4 linked regions of the Rattus norvegicus genome follow. The protein of the gene in region 1 purifies or fractionates together with the protein of each later gene. This does not show direct contact. Links are inferred from orthologs where the notes say so. Each region holds a gene or a part of one and is shown in the gene's direction. Other genes may lie near its edges.

The links.
Region 2: the proteins of Pop4 (region 1) and Rpp25 purify together in Homo sapiens (affinity purification with mass spectrometry; 3 studies listed by BioGRID and IntAct, counting the BioPlex papers as one, with this or other methods). This does not show direct contact. The link is inferred for Rattus norvegicus from reciprocal best matches to the Homo sapiens genes POP4 and RPP25.
Region 3: the proteins of Pop4 (region 1) and Rpp38 purify together in Homo sapiens (affinity purification with mass spectrometry; 4 studies listed by BioGRID and IntAct, counting the BioPlex papers as one, with this or other methods). This does not show direct contact. The link is inferred for Rattus norvegicus from reciprocal best matches to the Homo sapiens genes POP4 and RPP38.
Region 4: the proteins of Pop4 (region 1) and Rpp14 purify together in Homo sapiens (affinity purification with mass spectrometry; 3 studies listed by BioGRID and IntAct, counting the BioPlex papers as one, with this or other methods). This does not show direct contact. The link is inferred for Rattus norvegicus from reciprocal best matches to the Homo sapiens genes POP4 and RPP14.

The regions. Positions count from the first base shown.
Region 1 is NC_086019.1:100,101,577-100,107,729, reverse strand, and holds the start of Pop4 (ribonuclease P protein subunit p29), read left to right. Parts: upstream 1-2,673; 5' UTR 2,674-2,831; coding exon 2,832-2,838; intron 2,839-4,900; coding exon 4,901-4,953; intron 4,954-6,153. UniProt on the Homo sapiens protein: Component of ribonuclease P, a ribonucleoprotein complex that generates mature tRNA molecules by cleaving their 5'-ends.
Region 2 is NC_086026.1:66,800,769-66,806,091, forward strand, and holds Rpp25 (ribonuclease P protein subunit p25), read left to right. Parts: upstream 1-2,493; 5' UTR 2,494-2,678; coding exon 2,679-3,278; 3' UTR 3,279-3,874; downstream 3,875-5,323. UniProt on the Homo sapiens protein: Component of ribonuclease P, a ribonucleoprotein complex that generates mature tRNA molecules by cleaving their 5'-ends. Also a component of the MRP ribonuclease complex, which cleaves pre-rRNA sequences.
Region 3 is NC_086035.1:79,820,510-79,826,894, forward strand, and holds the start of Rpp38 (ribonuclease P protein subunit p38), read left to right. Parts: upstream 1-2,858; 5' UTR 2,859-2,968; intron 2,969-3,280; 5' UTR 3,281-3,448; intron 3,449-5,483; 5' UTR 5,484-5,493; coding exon 5,494-6,312; 3' UTR 6,313-6,385. UniProt on the Homo sapiens protein: Component of ribonuclease P, a ribonucleoprotein complex that generates mature tRNA molecules by cleaving their 5'-ends. Also a component of the MRP ribonuclease complex, which cleaves pre-rRNA sequences.
Region 4 is NC_086033.1:19,270,751-19,276,396, reverse strand, and holds part of Rpp14 (ribonuclease P protein subunit p14), read left to right. Parts: intron 1-324; 5' UTR 325-477; intron 478-1,820; 5' UTR 1,821-1,837; coding exon 1,838-1,908; intron 1,909-2,026; coding exon 2,027-2,111; intron 2,112-5,115; coding exon 5,116-5,192; intron 5,193-5,646. UniProt on the Homo sapiens protein: Component of ribonuclease P, a ribonucleoprotein complex that generates mature tRNA molecules by cleaving their 5'-ends.

The DNA.
Region 1 (6,153 bases):
AATATCCAATAAAAGAAAAGAAAAAACATGAAGTACGGAGCTAAACAGAGAAGTCTCACCAGAGAGATCTTTAATGGCTAAGAAACACTTAAAGAGTTGTTCAACATCCTTACTCAGCAGGTAAATACAAATCAAACAACTCTGACATTCCACCTTTCACCCATCAGAATGGCTAAAACCAAAAACTCAAATGACAGCGCATACTGGCAAGGATGTGGAGCAAGGGGAGCACTCTTACATTGCTGATGGGTATAAAGATTTGTACAACCTCTCTGGAAATCAATTTGCTGGTTTCTTAGAAAATTGGGACTAGTTCTACCTCAAGACCCGGCTATACCACGTGATCATATTCCCCAAAGATGCTCTACAAAGCCACAAGGACGCTTGCTCCTTCTGGGGGCTGGTGAGATGGTTCAGGGATCAAAAGCACATGTAGCATTTCCAGAGGTTCCACACGGGGTGGCTTCAAACCAACACACACACACACACACACACACACACACACACACACACACACACACACACTGACTGACTGACTGACTGACTGACTGACTTTTTAAAAACAATTTTTAAATATAGATTCTTGGTGCTGGAAGGACTCAGCATGAAGAGCAGCTGCTACCCTCCCAGAGGACCTGTGCGTGATCTCCCACCACACACATGGTAATTCACACCTGTCTGTAACTCCCCTTCCAGGGCTTCTTGACACCTCACACTGACATAACCACAGGCAAAACACCAATGAACATAAACTAAAAACTTTTAAAATGCAGATATTCCAGGCACCCTTCTGCTAGGTAACTCTAAGAGATGCCTACACATCAGAACTTTTGAAACCTTCCATTTCCTTGCTTATTCAGACAGGGTCTCCGTGTGTATGCTTAGACCTCAACCTCTCTACCCTCCGGCCCCAGCCTGCTGAGTGTGCACTCACTCACACTTGTGATAAACCTTATTGACCAAAGAGATCAGCACACACTTCATTTGCTCAGTCCATCCCTGTCCACTACTGTGTCCAGTACTTTGCTCTCATAAACAAGAACCACAGAAATCCTAGTAGGTATCTCTCTTCATATAGTTTTCTGAGGGTGACAAACTGTGAGGCTCTCCTTAAAAAGCAAAGGTTTTAGTAAGTATGCAACTGTGTGTCACTGTTACTCAGAAAAGCCCACACCCTACTGTGGTCTGAGAGTCACAGGGAATATTGGCAGATACCCAAAGCTAAGCTAGATATTTTAAAAGGGTCCATTAAGAGATTCCTAATAACTGGGCTAGAGAAAAAGGCTAGGCTGGGCCTTTGTGTCCCAGATCTATGGGAATCACTTTTGTCTTTTATCATAATGACAGACACTAATGTTCTTGGTCTGAAGGATGCTTTCTGGGTTGGATGTAATGAGAGACTGTAAATTCTAATGCTCCAGAAGCTCAGGCAGGAATATTACACTTTCAAGCTCAGCCTACACCACACAGCAAGTGTCTGGGAAACTTGGTCTTAGGAGTGAAAAAAAAAATCAGTTTAAAAAAGCAAACATTCTTAGACCATCAGAGTGCAATTTAATGAGCATAGGAAAGGAAGGAAGGCCAGCCGGAAGGAGGGAAGGAGGGAGGGAGGGAGAGAGAGGAGAGGGGAAGAAGGGAGGGAGGGAGGGAGGGAGGGAGGAAGGAAGGAAGGAAGGAAGGAAGGAAGGAAGGAAGGAAGGAAAGAAAGATGCCTTTTAGACATATAAAAATGTTTAGTCAAGGAACCCCACTACACCAAAGGCAGCACCTGATAATCAGAACCCAGTTTCATCACTCATTCAAGACAACTAGCCAGTCCTAGAACCCCATGCCACCCAGTGGAATTATATAAGCAGACACCAAGAGCAATTGTCTGGAGAGAAGCCACCTTGATCTGCCCTGGGGCTGGAGAGCCACCACCACCACCACCCCACCCCCGTACCCCCTCCCCGAACCCTACTGCCAGGATCCAATCAAAAACTTCTGTTAGAGACTGGGCCTGACCTTCAGCTAAGATAAGTCACACAAGAGGGGTAGCCTTAGGGAGATGATAGGCTTAGGAATGTAGTTAGGAATTTAGGGGGTGAACCTATGTAATGGCCCACAGCATAATAAAATGTAACTTTTGTTATACTAGCTACACTAACTGGACGTATCTACCTGCTTGCTCAAGACATCAAGTAAATCAAGTAAAAGAGACCTTTAAACGAGGTTATAAAGGTATTTAGTAGCAGAAACAGAACTAAATCCCCGGCCACCAGTACAAAATGTGCCTATTAATCTCGGGAGTAAATTCTGGGTCACCCGGGGCCACATTGTGAGCCCCTTGCATAAAAAAAAAAAAAAAAAAAAGTCGTTACCGCCGATATCCCCGGACCACTTGTGCCCTCCCTAGTCCCCGATCTCCCTCACGTCCTTTCTATGTCAGCTTGCCTCGCTATACTTCATTAATCCTGACCCTCGACCCGACCGCTCTCGGCACAGTCGGTTGCAAAGTGAACGACACAGCGAAGACCTGCAAACCTCGCCCCTCCCTCAAGCCACAGAGATAACCCCAAGGCGCATGTGTTGCCAGAGACAGACGCACATAGATGCCATCACGCCGATGACGTCAGAGAGGCGCCTGATCCGAAATTGACGCCGGCTGGAGCAAGTCCGTGCAGTTTGTAAATTGTTTCTTGGGCTTATCGGATTTTTTTCAGGTGGAAACTTAAACTTAAACAAAAAAGCATCCAAGTGGGGGTAAAAACCTCTGAACAAAGCGAAGAAAGGAAAAGAATGCATGAGGCCTGGAGGAGACATCATTAGAGCGCTCCGGAAGCTGGCCGACAATGAAGGGTAAGTGGAATGAGAGGCGCGGAATGGGGCCGAGGTGAGACTATAGAGCACCGGAACCAGAAGTTGGTCTGTGAAATGAGTCAGGGACACTTGTCAGAAGACATCTTCCAGGGAATGGACTCAGTACACAAATCGAGGCCCCAAGTCTGAATCGGCCGACTCAGTCTCTTAGCTAGGAATGGACGTCAGGATCGAGTGTGTGTGTGTCCTCCTCAAGGGCTTCTCAGGGGAACTAGAAGAGGTAGGTCCAAGTCCTTGACGGGACCTAGCCACTACCTTCCCATATAACTTATGTCTAGGGCCTGCTCCCCTCTACTCTCTGGCTTTTCACCCTTGCCCCTGCCCCTGTAAACACTGCTGAGGGGCCGTGTCGCACACCTAAGGCGTTGATATTTGAGCTGAAAAGACCTGCACCCAGAAGGGCAGTTAAGCACTGGAGCAGTATTAGAGTAGAGAGGGGATGCCGTAAAGATTAAGCCTCTGATCGGGCGATTCACACCCCTGTCCGTGCCCTTTTCTCAGAGAGCAAGTTTCTTAGCATGTCTTAGCTACAACCTTACTATGTGCATAACAAGGAGTAACTACTGTTTTAAATTGCTTAGAAAGATTAATGACATTAATATATACATATTATGCATACATATATGTGTGTATATATATATACACACACACATATATATGCACACACACTCACTCAACCAACTGCTCAACCAGCAGTGAGTGTCCCCTACCTGTTGCATGTTGCAGAAAGACTTTCAGTTTTGATGCTAGGCATCTGGGGTCAATACAACAAAGTTCTCCCTGGGGTTCCACTCTCAATAAACAAAAAAAGCACAATCTCAATCCATTGTTCAAGGGAGAACTAGATGCTGTATATAAAACTTGTAAGTGCCTTGGTTTGTTTGCTTGCTCAAGCATGTACTCAGGGAAACAGAGATGGATTTTTGTTTGTTTGTTTGTTTGTTTCTTACTGTTGCTGTTGGGATACAGCCAGCTATGTTCTCCTGGCTGGCCTGGAACTCACTGTGTAAAACCAGCTTGGCCTCTACCTCTCAAGGGATGGGGATGCCACCAAACTTAGCTCAGAAGTGGAATGTATGGAGTATGGTGTGAACTGCATTTTCTGGTCATGAGCCCCATGATGCTTTCCTCCAAACAAATGAGAAACAGGAGGTTTAAAGAGGTTTTGGCGGGGTTGGGGATTTAGCTCAGTAGTAGAGCGCTTGCCTAGGAAGTGCAAGGCCCTGGGTTCGGTCCCCAGCTCCGAAAAAAAAAAAAAGAACAAAAAAAAAAAAAGAGGTTTTGGCATCCTGAAGATGGTATTTAGAATTTGGAAAGAGACTATTGTATCTTATCTGGTCAGGATACATTATAGATTTTAAGGTGTGAAAAAACCTCTTTCAAGCCTCTCCGTAGTCAGCAAAATGTAGTGTTTCAACCATACGCATTAAGATCGCCTCACTTTTAGTGTCTAGACTTACTAGACTTACTGAGCCACTGCCCAAGCGTAATTATAACTCTTGGGTGTTTAAAATCAGATTAACTCTAAATGTGACCCATTGAGGAATTTTTTTGAACATGCAGAGTCGAGTAGGAACCAAAACCCTAAATTTTAATAAGATCTCAGTGATTCTTAAACACATTAAGCTTTGAGGGGTGCTTTTCTAAAAAAACTACATCCTGGGAATTTCTAGGATGAAGTTGGCAAGAGGGAAGGGTAGTGTGGTACATGTGTACCACTATAAGGTCAGTGTGGTGGTACATGTGTATAATCCCAGCTACTAGCACTTGGAAGCCTAAGACAGGACTGGTGTGGGTTGGAGGCCAGCCTAGGATACAAAGCAGACACGTAAGAGGGCTGGGGTCTACGTCCACAGTGAAGCACCTGCTCAGCATACATTACACTCCCCTCACATTAGTCCTCCAGCACTGCAGCATAAAATAAAAGGATCATCTTCTCTGAGTAAGTGTAGTTCTTGTCCTAGTTGGAAAAGCCTTGGCTATTATACTCGTTCCTAACAGGAAGAATCATTTCTCCTTGTTTTTGTCTTTCGTCCCCCAGCTGTGATCTACCATGCCTTTTCTCATAAAGAAGCCAAGGACCACGATGTGCAGGTACAGTCTGTCAGAGGTGACGGCAAAGGAGGCTCGGGATCTTCTAAGGCTGGTGTAACTGTCTTTTCCCATGGATTACGCCTCTCCTTTCCATTCTGTGTACTAGGCCCCATAAAAACCTTTTGTGCTGATGTCTTCATGAGCCAGACTCCTTCCTTAGGCTACCAGAGTCAGCTCTGAGGGACTTGGACTCCTTGATTTCCTGTCATCCCCCTCTCTGTAGGGATGACAGCCTCGCCCACCTGAAACCAGTATCCTGGGCAGTGCTCAGCCCGTTCCATAAGCCGCTGTTAGGAGTTTTGTCTGGGTGTTTCCGGATGCTTTGTCATTTGGGCAGAAGCTTCACCTATGGCTCCTAAAGGGAACATGTCCTTGAAATCAAGACTTCAAAAGGCCCGTTGACCTTCAGTTTTTAATCCCCAATGAAAGAGAGGCCACCTAGTTACAAGATCCGAAGTGTCCTCATGTCACTTGTTGATGAATTGTTGAGCTATCCCTGCTTCAGGCACCTCGAAGGTTATGTATTCTATATTTTCACTCCCTTGCTTTAGCATAGAGAGGGTGGAAGTCACTATTCATACATTACCCTAAAGCTGGCAGTTAACCCAGACTTCCCAGCAAATGACTCAGGGAAGAGGTCAGTCCTTAGGTAACAGGGTTTCAGTTGATGTTGCCCGGTGAGGAATACATTGTTGCTGCTCCAACTCCAGAGGACAAGTGATTAAAGAGGACTTTGAGGGGCTAGGGATTTAGCTCAGTGGTAGAGCGCTTACCTAGGAAGCGTAAGGCCCTGGGTTCGGTCCCCAGCTCCGAAAAAAAGAACCAAAAAAAGAGGACTTTGATATCCACTGTCCTCCTCAAAGGACTTGACCTTCCTGGAAACCCCAGTTTCCCCTAGTGCCGGAGTGGCTCATTTCCCTACCAACCCCCCGCTCCCTTCCCCTTATAAGCTGGTCATGACTGATTGGATAACCTGTATCATCCATGTCTCAGGCTTCCTTCCCTACAAGGATTAGAGAAGTACTAAATCACAATAGGGCTTGGATCCTCAGTAGAGGAATCTCAAAGAAGCAGGACAGGAAGTCAGTGTTTGAACTGGCTGCAGTGTGGGACACTGTCACAAGTACCATATGAGTGTTTCTTCTACATCTTGGCAGCTGTGTGGAGCAAACCCTTGGCAAAAGAGATTTGTGAGCCTCA
Region 2 (5,323 bases), on another chromosome or scaffold:
GCCAGTGTGCAGTTTTCTTGTAAGTATTTAAAAATACATTTACATATGCAAACGTATCCGCAGGGTTTGGCGGGCAACCAGCTTTTTTCAGCATACCGTCCTGGCTGCCTTTCTAACCATGATGTTGTGTGTAGCAAAGATAGTGCCTTTATTTACCCACTTTCCCCATATTGAACCTTCTTTCTCCTCCCGCTGTCGTCTGTCCCCTTTCGGAAGGTCCCTACCCATTTCGCACGATTTCTCCTTTGGCCGTCTTCCCATCCTGGTATCCCTTCTCACATAACCTTCCTCTTCATCCTCCTCACTTAATCTCCTTCCTTCCAGTCTCCCGAGCTTCTCTCCTCTCTGACACCAAGGTTTCTTCACGGTCCAACCGGTTTCTTCGGCTCACCGCCCCTCTGCCAGTTCTGGGCTTTAAGGCTGCCAGCACCACCCAGTCCCCGCATCCTTCCCCCATCACCTCCCCCGCTGCCGCCCCTCCCGGGCCGGGAGGGAGCGCACAGTCGGCAGGCGACAGAGAGAGCTGACAGCGTAATGAATGGCTTCAGCTGTAATTAGCGACCCCGCGGCTAATCACGATGTGCATTTACATTTTAAGTGCTGCAGAGGGAGCGGGAAAGGAAGCTACGCGGGCGGGGAACTGGGCCTTTTCTGCGTTCTCCCTCCACAGACTCGAAAATAAAGTGAATAGGGGAGTCTATGGCAGAGGGTAGTGGTGCTGAGAGGGGGTGGCGGTGTCCTTGAGGGCCAACTTGGGTAGAGGCACAACCACCCCTTCCTTATGGAACAAACTTGCAGTCCCCAGGTCTTCCAAATTATAGAGTACTGCCTACAGGGTCTCCAAGTGTTTAACTCAGGCTTGCATACTCCCAGGGACGCAGAGCTCGCTTCTTTTCCAACCAGCACACTCCTACATAGCTTCTAGTCTTTCTGGAACTTTTTCTCAAGCCAATCCGAACCTGCCGACTTTAAGTTCCACCACTTGCCCAAGAGCACAGCAGAGGTGGTGTCGTCCCAAGGTTGGGCCTCCAGAGCCTGCTCCTTCCTTTGAAGTCTGCAAGAGTTGGATCTAGGACAGAGTCCCAGTTCCAGCCACACTCCTGGAGTGTGAGCAAGAGATTGGAGTCAGTCACTCACACTTGAGGCAAAAAAAAAAGTCCAGGTGCTGCAGCCACACTCCAAGAAGAGATGAGATATAAGGCCAGTGTTCTGAGCCGCGGGGCTGAGAATTGTCACAGACAGCAAAGAGGAAGAGGAGGGCCGGGTAGCTCTACTCCTAGACTGAAGCTATGTTCATCCAGATACCATCTTGCTGATACTTTGGAGAACACAGTTCCTTACAGTCCTTAGTGCTTCTTCCTTCCCTGTGCTTTAACAGGTCTGTCTGACTCCCTGCCTTTCGTGGAAGCCGGTTGAAGACTGAGGACATGGTCCCAGGGGAGGATTAGATAGGGTCACTCTTTATTAAACCGTCTTCCTTTCATCAGCCCTTGGCCCCTAGCCTCATCTTTCTACGCTCATCTCACCTCCCAGCAGAGCCCGAGCCTCTCCTTAGATTCTGTGGAGTTTCCAGAGTTTGCAAGTACTCCCACCCCCAACATTCCACCAAGGCACTCCACCCTGCCTCCCACCTCTTAAAACCTGCCTTCTCTCCGTTTAACAAAAACAATCCTCTGGATTTCTAGAGGCCAAGGCTGACTGGCAAGGAATTCCACCTGGAATTGGAAGTCAGAAATCCGCGTTAGCACGGGCTGAGCCACGCACTTAAAAATACACGCAGCTCTGGTAACGGACTTTCAGGCATAAATGTTAGAATTTAACGCCTTGGAAGAAATGGTCCCCTGTTCCCCATTCACTTTAGGCAGGCCCAACGCATCACTTCCCACATTTCAGAGATGTATAGGTGCCGGGAGCCTGGAGGTATGATCAAGAGGAGCAAAGCTGAAACTTAAGTCATTCCAAGCAGCTACTGAAAGACCAAGCCACGACGTAGCGGTCCCAGCCCAGGGAAGGCGCTGCGTGCAGCCGCAGCCAACGCCTCCCACACTCTGCTGACCATGCACTGGCTGTCCTTGACGCAAGAATATATAGAGAGAAAGGGAGGGAGGTCCCTGGAGGGCTGGAGAAGCGAAGCCCCAAGAGGTGGTTTGGAAATCTCTTACCTAGGAGGGGTCTAGGGATGCCCTTGAGCTGGAACTCGCAAGGCTTAGGGACTAGGCTTGAATCGGCGTTTGCACCTCAAGCATAGTTTTTATTTAGGTTGTTCCTGCAAGAGGGCTGGTTCAGGGAGGACAGATGGTGACTTCGGGGAACTTCACCTCCCAAACCACCCCTGCTCAGCCGCTGAGCACCAGCGCTGGATCCCAAAGGCTGGCGGGGCTGGGACTAGACACGCAGAGTTGGGGCGGGGCCTGGACTAAGGGGCAGGGCCTATCCCGCTCCCAGGCGGAGCTTCTGCTAAAGGCGCGGAGCACAAGGCTCCGAGGGCGCAGAGTAGAACAGCACTACCCTGTAGAAGTCTGGGCTGAAGACTCCGCGTTCCCTGCTCACCCTCCAGCTTTCACTCGGTGCCAGCATCCCAATTCCTGCCGGCCCTCGCCCGGCACGACCCGCGGCCATGCAGCCCCGGGCTTGAGGCGGCCCCATGGCAAAACCTGCGATCCCAGCGACGACGGCGCATGGAGAACTTCCGTAAGGTGCGCTCGGAGGAGGCGCCGGCGGGGGACGGTGATGAGGGTGGCAGCCCGAGCTCTGGCCCTTTTGCAGATCTGGCGCCTGGTGCTGTACACATGCGGGTCAAGGAGGGCAGCAAGATCCGCAACCTGCTGGCCTTCGCCACCGCTAGCATGGCGCAGCCAGCCACGCGCGCCATCGTCTTCAGCGGCTGCGGCCGGGCCACCACCAAGACCGTCACGTGCGCCGAGATTCTCAAGCGCCGCCTGGCGGGCTTACACCAGGTCACGCGGCTGCGCTACAGGAGCGTGCGCGAGGTGTGGCAGAGCCTCCCGCCTGGGCCCACACCGGGTCAGACGCCCAGCGATCCGGCCGCCAGTCTCAGTGTACTTAAGAATGTACCGAGCCTCGCCATCCTACTTTCAAAGGACGCACTGGATCCACGACAGCTTGGCTACCAGCCCCCGAACCTCAGTCCTGGTCCTTCGTCCCCTCCTACCGTGTCGACGTCCAAGAGGAGCCTGGGGGAATCTGCAGCTGGAGAAGGCACAGCTAAGCGGTCTCAGCCTGAGCCAGAGGCTGAGAATGAGGACCGGACTGCCTGAGAATTCTCGCCTCTGAACCACCTAGACTGGATCTTATATCTTCAACACACCTACATCCACATGCACCCTTCCTACCTGGGTTTTAAGGGGCCCATGTTCCTGAATATTGGTCCTCAAAATGACAACGCGGATCCCAAGGCGACAGGAGAGGGAGCTCAAGAATTACAAGAGAGGATTCTTGAAGTCCGAGGAAAACTTTGTGGGACATGTTGCCAGAAGCCACAGAACACCACCCACACCTTTTCTAGGCCATCTTTTTTAGGGAAGCCTGGTGGGTAGTGGGACTCTTGAGCTTTCTTGGGGACCCAGACGTTAAAAGCACCCAGTGTGCATGGAGGCTGACAGTTGAGGCTTTAAAAACCGTCCTTGTTGTTAACTGAGAGCAGGAGCTGTGAAGCTGTTTCCTTGAGGGTGACCAAGTTGAAAATGTCTGGACCCTGTTCTGCCCACCCACACCCTAGCATATTCCTTTTAGCTTCCCCCCACCCTCACCCCTGTTGCATGGTGGCAGAGACGGGACCCAGGAGGAAACTTGCCATGCTTCCTCCCCTGAGTCCTGCTGGAGTATTGCTTCCAATAAAACAAACATGAAAATGGCTCCGTCCCCAGTTTTGTCTCTTTTTTTTCCCTTACCCGCTCGCCTGTGCAGAGCCCACTTTGGCATGCTTGCCTTCAGCCCTATTAGCCTTTGGAGTCTTCAAGGTCAGACGCAGACGGGGCAGCGTCAAAAATGTCGAAAGAGGGACTTGTGGTGGAGGGGGTTGGAGGTCTGTGTCCCTGTTGTATCCCCACAAGGGAAAGGAAGCAGTGTTGCTGCTTTTCTGGGAGGGGAAGGAGGGGGAGCCTTGACGAGCTGGAAGCGGCAGCCTGCCAAGGCTGGCCAACCATGCTAAGGTTCTAACCTTGCACCCTCCTCCCAGTAGCCATTCTTACCCAGAGGCAGGCACAAAGCCCCAGGAGCAGGGGCTCCCCTTCGCTGCCCTCTCTCTGCAAAAGGACAGCACACCCTTGGGAGAGGGGGAGGGAGAGAGACAGCACAAATCCACTGCTGGAAATTACTATTCAGCAGAGAAGCTTGGGCTGTGAATCACTGCAGGCTCCCTGATAAGCTGCTGCCTTCAGCCCTGCACAGCTGTGGGTTGAGAGATAACAGCCTCAGATGCCTCTCAGCCCAAGTCCAAGTCTGGAGGGGGTGGGGGTATGCTGTGTGCTGTGGAAGTCGGGGAGCTGTGCAGCATACAGCTCAGGATCTTCAGGGCAGGCGCTACCCCGTGGAACTCAGCACCTCTGGAAAGGAGATGGGAGAGAACACATTTGTAAGTCACTTTGCTTGTAGAACCTTGAAATAAATCCCACTGGTGAGGATGTGGGTTTCTGCAGCTGATGGAGGGGCGCCTAGGGGAAAGCACTCTCCTCTCCTAACACTATCTCTGCTCTGTTTTGAATCACTGACTCGTGTCATCCAGACTGTCGTTCATTGCCCTCTGCCTCCCACCCACCCCCCTGACCTAATTATTTCTTTTTAGGGGAGGTCTGGCCATGTAGTGCAGACTGGATAATAACTGATCCTCCTGCCCCAGCCTCCCAAACGCTGGGATTACAGGTGTGTAATTTGTCCGGCCTTATTTCTTGTTCTTGAGGAATCTCTAGGGAGAGCCAAGGGGTTTAGATGTGTTTGTGAGCCTGCTATGGAGCAAGAAGCATGGAAGGAATGAAGGCTTGGCTGGGGAGGTAACTCGGCTGGTAGAGTGTTTGCCTAGCATGGATAGTCTCACTTTTTACTCGCAGCCCTGCCCACCCCAACTTGTCATGGTGGTGCATGCCTGTAATACCTGAACCATAGAGGTGGAAGGAGGAATACCAAAAATTAAAGATCGTCCTTGGCTACACACGTGGAGTTTGAGGCCAGCAACAGTAAACCATCCAGACAACTGAGGTACCTGACTACTGGACCACTGGGCTTCTGAAACTAAAGGAAAAGATAAGATATAGAAGTCATGAACACGGGGATTTAGCTCAGTGGTAGAGCGCTTGCCTAGAAAGCG
Region 3 (6,385 bases), on another chromosome or scaffold:
AGATTGTCTTTAACACCAGCATGGCTCTGCTTCCCACTGTGTTGAATTGTGAGTAGTGTCAGCCTGCTGTGAAGTTACCATTGCCAGATGAATGTCTACAGAAATATTTCAACTTTATTTTCAGTATTTAGTGATGTAAGCTATTACTGCATCAATGGTAATACATTTCTGCTTTAGTGTAAATTAAGGATGTTTTCTAGTTGTGCACGAATGCTGGCAACCTCGTCAGTTTGACTATTGTTTAAATATGTAATGTTAAGCTTAGGTTTAAAAAAATCTGGTAATTTGGGTTTTTGTTATTTGTTTTAAAAAATAAATGTGAATGTGTTTGGTTCATTCTTTCATGAAAAAAAAACTTTGTTATTAATAGTATGATTCCACGAAATCACAAGAGCATACAGTGCTGAGCAAAGCTCAGATTCCATGAAAGACAAGGAGAGTCTTGTGTTCAATTCTTGCACGTTTTCATTGACAAACATTATTGTCAACTCTAATGCTATGATTTCTGACCCAGATTCGTAAGCTAATGTTATATTGTTGTATCCTTTAAACCTAGCAATTCAAAAGTTAATACAAAGAGAACACTTTCACAAACCTTCTAAGTTATTAAACTACTTTGAGATATTCATAAACTTGACTATTTTCTTTTTTTCCGTTTTTTCTTTATTAACTTGAGTATTTCTTATTTACATTTCGAATGTTAATCCCTTTCCCGGTTTCCAGGCCAACATCCCCCTAAACCATCCCCCTCCCCATCCTCCCCCCATTACTGCCCTCCCCCCAACAATCACGTTCACTGGGGGTTCAGTCTTGGCAGGACCAAGGGCTTCCCCTTCCACTAGTGCTCTTACTAGGCTATTCATTGCTACCTATGAGGTCAGAGTCCAGGGTCAGTCCATGTATAGTCTTTGGGACTTGACTATTTTCATAAGCAGTATATTCATAAGCTGTGTATTTGCAAACATAACTTGTTTTCAATGTAAAATAAAAGCTATCATTGAAAGGTAAATCGATCACTCAGTGTATATATAGACTACTAAATGCATGGCAATTAAGGGGACTATGGGAAGCAAATGTTTGTAGAAAAAAATCTGAACATAAACCGAATTGATATTGCTGGGGTTTAGCACACACCTATGTGAAATAAATTAGATTACTCTGAACAAAATGCACGGAGGTGACTGCATCTTCACAAAGGATTAAAAAAACTTTAAAATATTTTTTGTTGCTGTAAAGTTTGGGCTACACAAATGGAAAGAAATTACCTGTGAGAAATATTCTTTTGGGTAAAATTCTTGTGGAAATATGGCTAAGTTTTCAAATAGAAAGCAAGGACCAAAATAGTAGAGGCTATATATAATTTTTATTAACTTAATTCTGCCACAACTGTCACTGGGTCATCGCGGCTCCATAGTTAGTCAGACACTTACTATGCGGCAGGCATCATGGTAAGCATCTTACACAGAACTCTTTTCTAATCCTCAGAATAGGGGCTATTTTTATCATTTCACAGAAGGCTAATTAACTTGCCCGAGGCGTAGGTACACTAGTTAGTGGTAAGGTTAAGGTTTGAACATAGCAGTCTGGCTACCTTTTTACACTTTTTCTCGCTCCTTCTTTCTGCTTTTTTTATGGTGTGTAGGTTCCTGCCCCAGTCTCCCACGCGCCAGGATTTCATGTGAACCTTTAGTATTTCAATTCTATCACCGCGATTTGTCTTCAGCGCACCAGGACTGCGGGTTATAGTAAAGAACGCTTTATGAGACAAAAACCTGTTGGCACACTCAAAACTCGTCCTGACTTCGTTCTTCTTAATCAACTTTTGGTAGAAACCATAGCACACGTTCCCTGTAAAAACTTCAACAATCCTTGACCAAAAGCAACCGCTTTTGTTTTGTTTAAATGTCCAATAAGTGGCGAATGATGAAAATGCAGAAGCTAGACTATAAACGTTAGTTTAAAACGAGCAATGAAGACACCTAGAAGGAAAATAAAGAGAAGGACCCGAATCTCCATCGCCCAGCCTCAATATCAGGATCAAAGGTGAGCCTTTCAGTTCTGGATTGCAGTTCATTCCAGATATAGTCAAGCGGACAACCAGGAATAGCCACTACACCTCCCAACGTCCTGAGAGGTCAGAAAGGAACAACAGCAAAAAATCCTGTCAAGTGTAGCCAACAGAATTTTAATCTTTAGCACGCTATTCCACTGTTTTACTAGTTGTCTGTAACTTTCCAGTGATTTTGTTTCATAAAACACACACACACACACACACACACACACACAGTCTCCATTAGTCAGGAGGCACAACAGATATTGCCGGCATATTCTGGAGTACCGCTGTGGAACTGAACGCAGCCCTTATTCTCCTTTCAGAGGGCCCAAGATTCTCCACATAAATTGTAATTACACGCAACCCTGTTAGCCCTACTACTTATTTGATTTTCGTGGTGGCGCGGCGACGTGGGCAGGGGAATGAATGGGTGGCCATAAGGGCTGGAGCTTTGCGTCCCTAGAACGAAAAGAGACGGCAGGCCAGAGTTCCCAGGCAGAACCAACTTGGCTAAAAACAGCGAGCGGAAAGGAGAGATCCACCTCTCACAAAACCAGACTCCGGGAGCTGCTTGGTACATCAGCATCCTTAGACAACCTGACAGAAGCGCAGAGGCTGGTTACTACAGCAACCACAGACTCTCGCGAGACAGACCGTACGCCTGCGCAGTGCTGCTCCAGAGCTCGGTCCCAGGCTGAGGGATTTTACGCAGGGACCACTCTCGGTAGCCAAACTACGGCTGACGTTCCTTACTAGGAGTGACGTAATGCAGAGCGGCAGGTAGGCGGAGCTCGTGTTCTGCGCACGCGCGCAGCAGGCGCACGTGGAGCGGGCGCCGTGGTCCCCGGTGGTGGCGGAGTTGCCGCCGCAGTGAATCGATCTGTCACGTGGTCTCCGCGGGGCGCTTCTGCACAGGTGGGTGCATGCGAGTCCGTGGTCCGAGTCCCAGCCCGTGGGCACCCGGGTCATCGCGGCGTGGGGTTCATCCAGTGCCCGGTCTCCCTGAGGTTCTTTCCGGCTGGCCTCAGGCGATCCCGGCCTCCTTCCGTCGCGTGGTGTGACGTGAGACATCATTCCCCCGAGACTACGGGAGCATCTCTGCTGCTGACGGCCTATCCAGGGTCTCTTTCCCCAAATCAAGGTCTCTCTGTGACCCATTTCTAATAGCGCCACCCTTCTGAAAGTCTCTCTAGAGTCACCACCATCTTGTCCTTACTCCAACTCTAGCATCTCTGTCCCGAGCGATACTGAACTTTAATACTCTTCTGGGATACCTCGCAGCCCGCTTCCTTCGGAAGGAATTCTTTTAGAAAGCGGTTGTTACGGTCATTTCCTCCAGAGAGACTTCTTTTCCTGACCCTCTCAACTAAGGTCGCTAACTGTCTGTTCCTCAAGGTATGTTCCTCAAGGTACTTCACTACTTTGGCTTTAGAGTGAGCCGTTTTTATTAGTCGCAGAAGCTGTTTGCTCTGCCCCACGCCTAATAACCGGGAGCAAGGATAAGTCCCAAGAATTTGATGGAAAACAAAACATCTGGTGTGTGAGTGCTATACCAGGCACAGTGTACGCTTAATAAGGACATGAGAAACTAAATGTTCAGAACCTGTAATATGGGTGGTGGGTGAAAGCAGAAAGGTTTGAGATGGGTGAGTAAAAAGGTAAACATTTTGAGTTTGCAGTTAGTCCTGTAGGCAGTGGCAGCTTGCAGACATAGTTGGCAAGGCGCTTGAGCAAGAGCAAGCTTTGTGAACCCGTTACCGTTCAGCATTTTAAAAATTCATATTGCATGGCAGTCGCCTTATGTAGACTTGGCTTTTTTCCACCTCCCCTTCTAGGTTCTTGTAAATCAGAGTACATCCCAATCTTGCAGTCCCCTTGGTTGCAGAGCATCTGTGAGTGTGTCCCTCTTACACTGACGGGCTAGGCAACACAGTAACTGACTTGTAGTTTGGCAAGAGCTGCGGTGGGGCTGTTTGTCTTGCTTCCTGGTCATTTCACCTACTGCTAGATGCCAGCTGCTGGTAGTCACCTCACTAGATCTAGATGACCTGTTCTTGAGTCTGAACTTGTGGGAAGTATGCAGCTGTTGGGGCATTGATTGGAGCAGTGCAGTGCGTTGTGAGAAGGAAGCCGCTATTAGCCAATGTCTGTGGCAGTGGGGTAGCATTGACAGAATCAAGATTGCAGCTTTTAGTGGGAGGAATTCTGACTTTATGTGGACGGGGACTAGAAGGATCAGGAGAGGAGTGAGTCTGCAACACCACTTCCTACAGCTGTCCAGTTTGGAAATGCCACCTGTCCCACACCAACCTCCAAACGTTGGGCATCTTTCTACCAGTACCTCTGGTGAAGCTGTACTCCCAGAAATCCCAGCTCAGTAAAGCCATCTGACTGTTCTTAAAAGCCAATCACAGGTTATTTCTAAGATGGAATCATGATTAAAAGTCTTCAGAAAAACTAGCTGTGAGTTGTACAGTGAATCTGCTTCCTAATCCACACTGGCAAACTCTTGTGTTTTAGGACTGGATGTGTGGAGAAAGCGCCCTGAGTTAGAGGAACCTTAATCAGAGGGGACTTATTTTGTCAACTGGGTCTTTATAGTTCTCAGATGAACTCTAGGAAGGAGACAACAACTGAGAGGAGTACACATGCATATTATTTATGTATACATATATATTATATATAATATCTACCTACATACTTAGTTGCCTTTGGGAAGAATAAACAGGATCTAAATGAATGGATGCCTGACAAGGAGCAGTTGAGAACATCCTAACTTGTTTGTGAGGTTAATATGATATAGTCACTAGGAAGAACAAATAGGCCAGTGGGTTTGTGGGGTTTTTTTTGTTTTGTTTTGTTTTTTCTTTTAGGAGCTCAGCCCATTTATTTCTCCCTAATGAGTTACTCTCAGAATTTCACCACAAATTTCTCCTATTTTTCATGAAATTGTCAGCCAAAGCAGGAATTTTATGATCACATGAGAGGGGAAATAAACCTGTATGTTTAAAATGTTTTAGGAACTTGGGGATCATGAGAGGAGGGAGACTTACAAAGTTTTAGCCATGGAGATAGATCATTACTATTTTGGTTCTTAAAATCCGACCTAGTTCTTTATGAACTTGAGAGAGTCCAGAAGAGAAGTTCTGTGTGAGCAGTTGCAGGGAATTCAGAGCCCACCAGCAGCTGTGTCTGGAACACCATCTGCCCACTGCAGTAAACGTGCTTATAAATGAATGAATGGGGGGTTGGGGATTTAGCTCAGTGGTAGAGCGCTTGCCTAGGAAGCGCAAGGCCCTGGGTTCGGTCCCCAGCTCCGAAAAAAAGAACCAAAAAAAAAAAAAAAAAAAAAAAAGACGAGAATATACCCAAAATATTCTCAAAAATGCACTGCCAACATGACTTTTATCATTTTTGCTTCTTTCCAAAGGGTTTTCAAGATGGCTGCAGCTCCTCAGGCACCAAAGAGGGGATCTATTCGGAAGACTAGACCTCTGGTTGTAAAGACATCACTGAACAACCCCTATGTCATTTCCTGGAGCAGCTTGGAGAGAGAAGACATGCACTTTATCCTACAGACGCTGGAGGACAAGTTTAAGTCGATCGGACTTCAGAAAATTGAAGATAAGAAGAAAAGGAAAGCAAAGCAGAGAGGCGGGCTTGTTGGGACCAGTGAGGAGCCGCAAGAGCCCCATGGGGGTGTGCGGGTGTCAGGGTGGACCCCTGTGCACACCAGGAAGCAGCTGGCCATCGGGGTTAATGAGGTCACCCGGGCTCTGGAGAGGAATGAACTGCTCCTGGTTCTAGTGTGTAAGTCAGTCAAGCCCGCCATCATCACCTCACACTTGATTCAGCTGAGTTTAAGCAGAACCGTTCCTGCCTGTCAGGTACCTCAGCTCAGCGAGAGAATTGCTCCAGTCATTGGCTTAAAATGTGTGCTAGCCTTGGGCTTCAGAAAGAACACCATGGACTTTGCTGATGAAGTAGAAGCCATCATTCCCAGGGTGCCCAGCTTAAATGTGCCCTGGCTTCCAGACGGAACCCAAGGTCTCACAGACAGTTTGGAGACGGAGTCTTTGGAAAGCCAGGACAAAGAGGTTTTGGACACTTCATTTGATGACCTTACAAGACTTAAGAGGAAGCTTGCTGAAGGTGGACAAGCTCCAGCTGCAACACTACAACCCCTGAAAATAAAGAGACTCGTTCCTAACCCGAGTAAGATAAGGAAACCACCCAAGAGTAAAAACCCCTCAAAGTAGTTCTGTGTGACCCTGCCACTTCGTGCAAGTATGTGGTCTAAATAAGCGTTGACACAAATAAAGCCAGGTGTGC
Region 4 (5,646 bases), on another chromosome or scaffold:
TACTTAATGTGTATGAATTTTTAAAAAGATTTATTTTATATATATATGTATGTGTATATATATATGTATATATGTATATGTGTGTGTATATATATATATATATATATATATATATATATATATATATATACTGTAGCTGTCTTCAGACACACCAGAAGAGGGTATCAGATCTCATTACAAATGGTTGGGAGCCATCATGTGGTTGCTGGGATTTTAACTCAGGACCTCTGGAAGAGTAGTTGATGTTCTTAACCGCTGAGCCATCTCTCCAGCCCATGTACGAGTATTTTGCCTGTATTGTATCTCTGTACCATTTTTCTACAGTGCCCAGGAAGAACAAGAGAGAGTGTTGAATCCTCTGGAACTGGAGTATAAACTTATGTCAGCCACCCTGTGGGTACTGGAAAATCAACCCAGCCAGCTTCTCTACAAGAACAGCAAGTGCTCTGAACAGCTGAGACATCTCTCCAGCCCTAAGTAATCATATACATATACATACACATACATACATTCATATATATGTGTGTATCTTATATTTATATGTGTATATTATATATGTATTTGTTTTATAGATATAGATATATATATAGGCCAGACAGTGGTGGTGCATACCTTTAACCCCAGCACTTGAGAGTCAGAGGCAGTGGTTCTCTGAATTCAAGGTCAGAGTTTCAGGACAGCCAGAACTATACCAAGAAACAAAACTAAAAGAAAAATATACAGCGTGTCATTTAATTTTTTCTTTTTTTGTCATATGCATTGTTGTGTGACCATTACCACCATCTACCTTCGCATTGCTCCTTAGTTGTTTTGGTATCCTAAGTCTCAGGCCTAAATCACTTCACTGCCTTTGGCAATATGCATCAACTGGGAAGTTGGCAAGGCCTAAAAACAACTGGTATGTGTCAGTCAGGTGGTGAGTGACTGAAGTAAGCAAGGTTCTAGTAGAGACTGGTCGGTGACAAAGGAGCATCAAGTAACTGTGACTGCTGTCCTGAAACCACCTCGATACACTGGGCATCGAGGCCATCACCATCACCGTCACCTCAGTCACGTATGTGGCAAGTGTTCTGTTGAGCACGTGCCCTGCTGGGCCCAGAAGAGAGGGATGAAGCTTCTTGCTTCCAATTTCCTTTTTCTGGCTATCATCATCTAAGAGTGCTTGGAATTGGGTCTGACCCAGAGAGGTTCTTGAAATGTTCCCTAACAGTGTGACTTGGGGTAAGAGGTAGAGGGCCCCTGGTCTCTTGGGCCCAACGACAAGATACTACATAACAAACATCTGTAGAACAAGTGTGAGAAAGTCTCCATGAAGGAGGAGACATTGAAATGGGAATGAGAGCTGTCCAGGGGGAGAGCAAGGTCTGAGTGGACTCAAGGAAAGAGACTTTCTAGGGGGGGGGGGGTGTCAGCACATCGGAAGTTCTTGAGAGTTCAGGTCTGTTTGAAATAGCATTGAGTATGGAGTGCCCCGTACACACCCATAATCCCAGCACTGGGGATGAAGCAGGAGAATCAAGTAAAAGGCCAACCTGGACTACACAGTTAGGCTCCCCTCCCCCGTCATTACATGAAAAGAGCAATATAGTATTAGTGCCCGTGTTTGTATATCTTCTGTTGCCAGTAATAACCACAGACTAAGTAAATTATAAACAGCTATGTTTTGGCTTATAGTTCAGGTCCAAGGCCAAGGGGCTACATCTAGTTGGCTTCTTGCTTATAAAGTCCCAACAGAAAATAGGGCAAGTTCCCATTAAAAATGCAATACTACCACTAATAACACTATACCTGATGGTTATGAGCTCTCTTGACTCCTCTAGGTACCCCATGTTGGAAGATGCCAGCTACTGCTTATGAAAGGGTAGTTTATAAGAGCCCTTCGGAGTACCACTACATGAAAGTCTGCTTGTAAGTTCCGTCTTGTGAGTTCTGTTTTATATAACCTGTTTTTGTTTGATTGTTTCTTTTTTATGAATCTGAAAAGCATGGCATTTAATGTGATATTTTCTCTTAATATTTTTTACAGAGAGTTTCAGGAACATGGGGTTGGACTGAATGGAGCCCAGTTCAAACAGCTACTTGTTTCAGCGCTGAAAGACCTGTTTGGGGAGGTATGGAATTAACATTCTTAAGGTTTTTGTAAGAAATTTTAGAAAAAGGACTAAGGGTATAATTCACTGGTGGAATCATGGCCTACCTTGGGCCTGATTGTACCTGTTACAAACAAACAAAAAAAGAACTTTTTTGTTCCTTTGTTAGAGACAGGCCTTCTGTATGAGCCAGGTTGTCTAGAGAACTTGCTCTGTAAACCAGATTAACATCAGATTCACAGAGCCACCTGCATCTGCCTCCAAAGCCCTGGGATTACTTGCAACATTACTCCTAGTCTACAAAGAGCAGGTTGTAAGAAGTACAGAAATACATATTTTTAAAACGGAACTAGAAATTGCAGAAGCCAGCTTTCAGAAATAATGAATTCTGTAGGTTTTTCTAGTGTATCCTGTATTTGGCAAGAAACCTACTAGACACCTGTTCTTGAACAGTGCTATCAAGTTATAGTCTAGACTGGTAACCTGGAGACATCACTGTCCGTCTTTGAAAGAGGAAGGGCTCGCATGAGCATAGCATGCTTCAGTAAGAACACCTCAGTACGAGGGACAGCAGGATGTCCTGAGCTCAGTCCCTGGAAGCCGTATGGTAGGAGAGAACCAGCTCTTGAGAGTTTCTTCTCATCTCCACACACTTGCAGTAGCACAGGCACACATACATACACACGTGGGCAAACAGACCTCCATACATGTACAGAGACATGCATACATACATGTGGGGGAAACACACACACAAATAAATAAACCTTAAAGTGATAGAAAATCTAAGAGAGTGTGAGCAGAAGCAAACTGCTTAGTGATGCTGGCCGACATCCCGATGTGCTTCTCAGCCTGTCACAGACCAGACACTTGGAGCAGCTCTGTCTGAGCAGTCACCTAATAGAAGCTGAACTTTGGAAATGGGGGGCGGGGAGGGGGGAGTACAAAGATAGGGTTGACTGTCAGGAACTCCCATGACTGATTTATTTTGTTCAGATAGACTCTGCAAAGACTGTAAGAAGATGGAAAGATGAGATATAGGTTGGGGAAAATAATTTGAAAACTATGTCTGACAAAGAAGTATTGTCTAGGATATTAGAACTCTCAGAACCCGATGGTGTTGGATACAATGATTTACACCTGTAATCACAGCACTAGACAGGCTGAAGTTGGATGATCAAGGTTATGTGTAGCAAGACCCTATCACCAAGGAGCCCCAGTCATAAGAAAACAAACAGTCCAAATCAAATAGGCTAGACTTTCACAGACATTTCACTAGAGAGAGTGCACCATTGACAAAGAAGCACGTGATAATATTAGATACCAGTGGAATGTGTGCCAGCTGCCACCTGACTGATCACGTGTTTACCGTACGCCTCAGCAGTAGCACTCACGGTATTCACTCCAGAAAACCGAAAGAAGAGAAGAGCCTGTGTACACAGACAGCTGAGACGGCTTAGCAGGTAAAGGTGCTACCACCAAGCCTGAAGACCTAAATTTGATCCCTGGAGCTCATATGGTGGAAGAAAAGAACTGACTTCTTCAGATTGTCCTCTGACTTCCATACGTACATCAGGGCACATATTCGCGTACACAATAAGTAAATATAATAAAAAAAATGACTTGAAGCAAAAATCTACATTCGGCCTGGAGAGGTCCCAGCAGTTGCAGACCCCTGGGTTCAGTTCCCAGGACCCACATAGTGGTTCATAACTGCCTCGTAGCTCTACTCTAGATCTGTTCTCCTTTTCTGGCCTCCTCAGGCACCAGGCATGCACACAGTGCACAAATATACATGTGCACAAAAAAATAAATGTTGAAAGGAAAAAAATACTGCACACCAGTGTTTATGGTAGTCTTATAACAACCAGGAGCTGGAAACATTACATTAGTTCTTAAGTGGATGGATTATTCAGTGATTGTATATTCATATCATGTATGATATAATTGTCAGAGAAAAAGATAGTGCTACACAAAGCTCTAGAAAGTTAAGTGGAGAAAGCCAACCCTGGGTAAGTTCCTCACTGGGTGATTCTAGGTCTATACTGCTCTTCCTACAACATAGCCTGTAGACAGAAGTGACTGCCAGGGGTTAGTGGGTGTAAGTAATAAAGGACCAATAGAAAAAGTCTTGTGATGGTCCAGGTTTTTATCTTGGTGGCAGAGGTAGTAGTTATAAGAAGTTGCCTATGTGGAAGCACACACATATAAATATATGTGCATACAAATAGTGTCAGGTCTAAGTAGATTCAGTCGTGTGGACACCAGTTACCTGCTTTGATCCTGCATTGTAGTGACATAAGATGCTGCCTTTGGGGGGACTGAGGGAAGAGGCCTTTGGAGGGGGGCTGAGGGAAGAGTGTTTGTACTTCCCTATAGATTGCCACAAATTGAAATATAGAGCCAGCAATTTGTATGTCATAAAAAATGTGATTTCAGGAGATAGAGCTAAATAAGACATGGTTTCTGTCCCTTGTTAAATAGTGTGAGTGACAAGGAGGGGAGAATTGTGAATGAGCAAAGTATAGAGTCTGGTATAAAAAAGAATGCAGTAAGTAGATTGATCTTGTAAGGAAAGGAGCTTTTTGTAAAAAAACCTCTCTCTGTCTGACTGTCTCTCTCTCTCTGTATGTGTATGTTAGTACACATAAATATGCTGTGTGTGTGTGTGTGTGTGTGTGTGTGTGTGTGTGTGTTAGTACACATAAATGCTTGTGCGCGCATGTGTTGTGATCAGAGGACGACTCTGGGGTATTTCTGTCCTTGCACCATATGGGTTCTGGGGATCAAACGGGGTGGAGCTTGGGTCATCAGGCTTTGTACCATGCACCTTTACCCACTGAGCCATCTCACCAACTGGAGAAGGAGCATTTTAACACAAGGTTCAAAGGTGAAAAGGGATGGGAACATTCCAGGCAGGGAGAGCTCTTAGCAGGCACGTGAGAGCACCAGCACTGTTGAAAGACTGGGTTTCTTAGAGTTCGAGAGTGAGCACGGAAGTCTGCTAATGGGATTGCTCCATTCCTAGGTTGGCGCTGCTTTACCTGTGGATGTTCTCACTTATGATGAGACCACACTGTCAGCCATCTTGAGAGTATGCAGCAGGTATGACCCTGGGACAGTTCTACAGTAGCAGGCAGAGAGAGTGATGGGACAGCACAGTGAAGATGCTTCCCGGATGGGAGTGCAAGGCCAGGCACCCTGAGCACCTTTGGGGATTTACACTGGAGTTAATGTGAACGTTTCTCTCAGAGACCAAACCTTTGGGGTTCAGACTCCAGACTCCATCTTAGGGATCCTGACCTAAGATTAAACTCAAGTAAAGCACAGGCTGGTACCTAGCTTCAGTTTCCAGGCTACCCCCCAACAAGACCTGCATCTCCAGGTTATTCCAACAGATCCAGCCTCTAGCCCAGTTTCCAAGTTATTTCTCCAGCTTACAAGCTTGCCCCTGCTTAACAACCACCGAGAAAACACAAGTTAAGTTTGTGGTTTGGCTCCCAACACTAGCCAGTTATGCTAAAGGCCACAGTAGCACCCCGATTAGATGCTTGCCAGG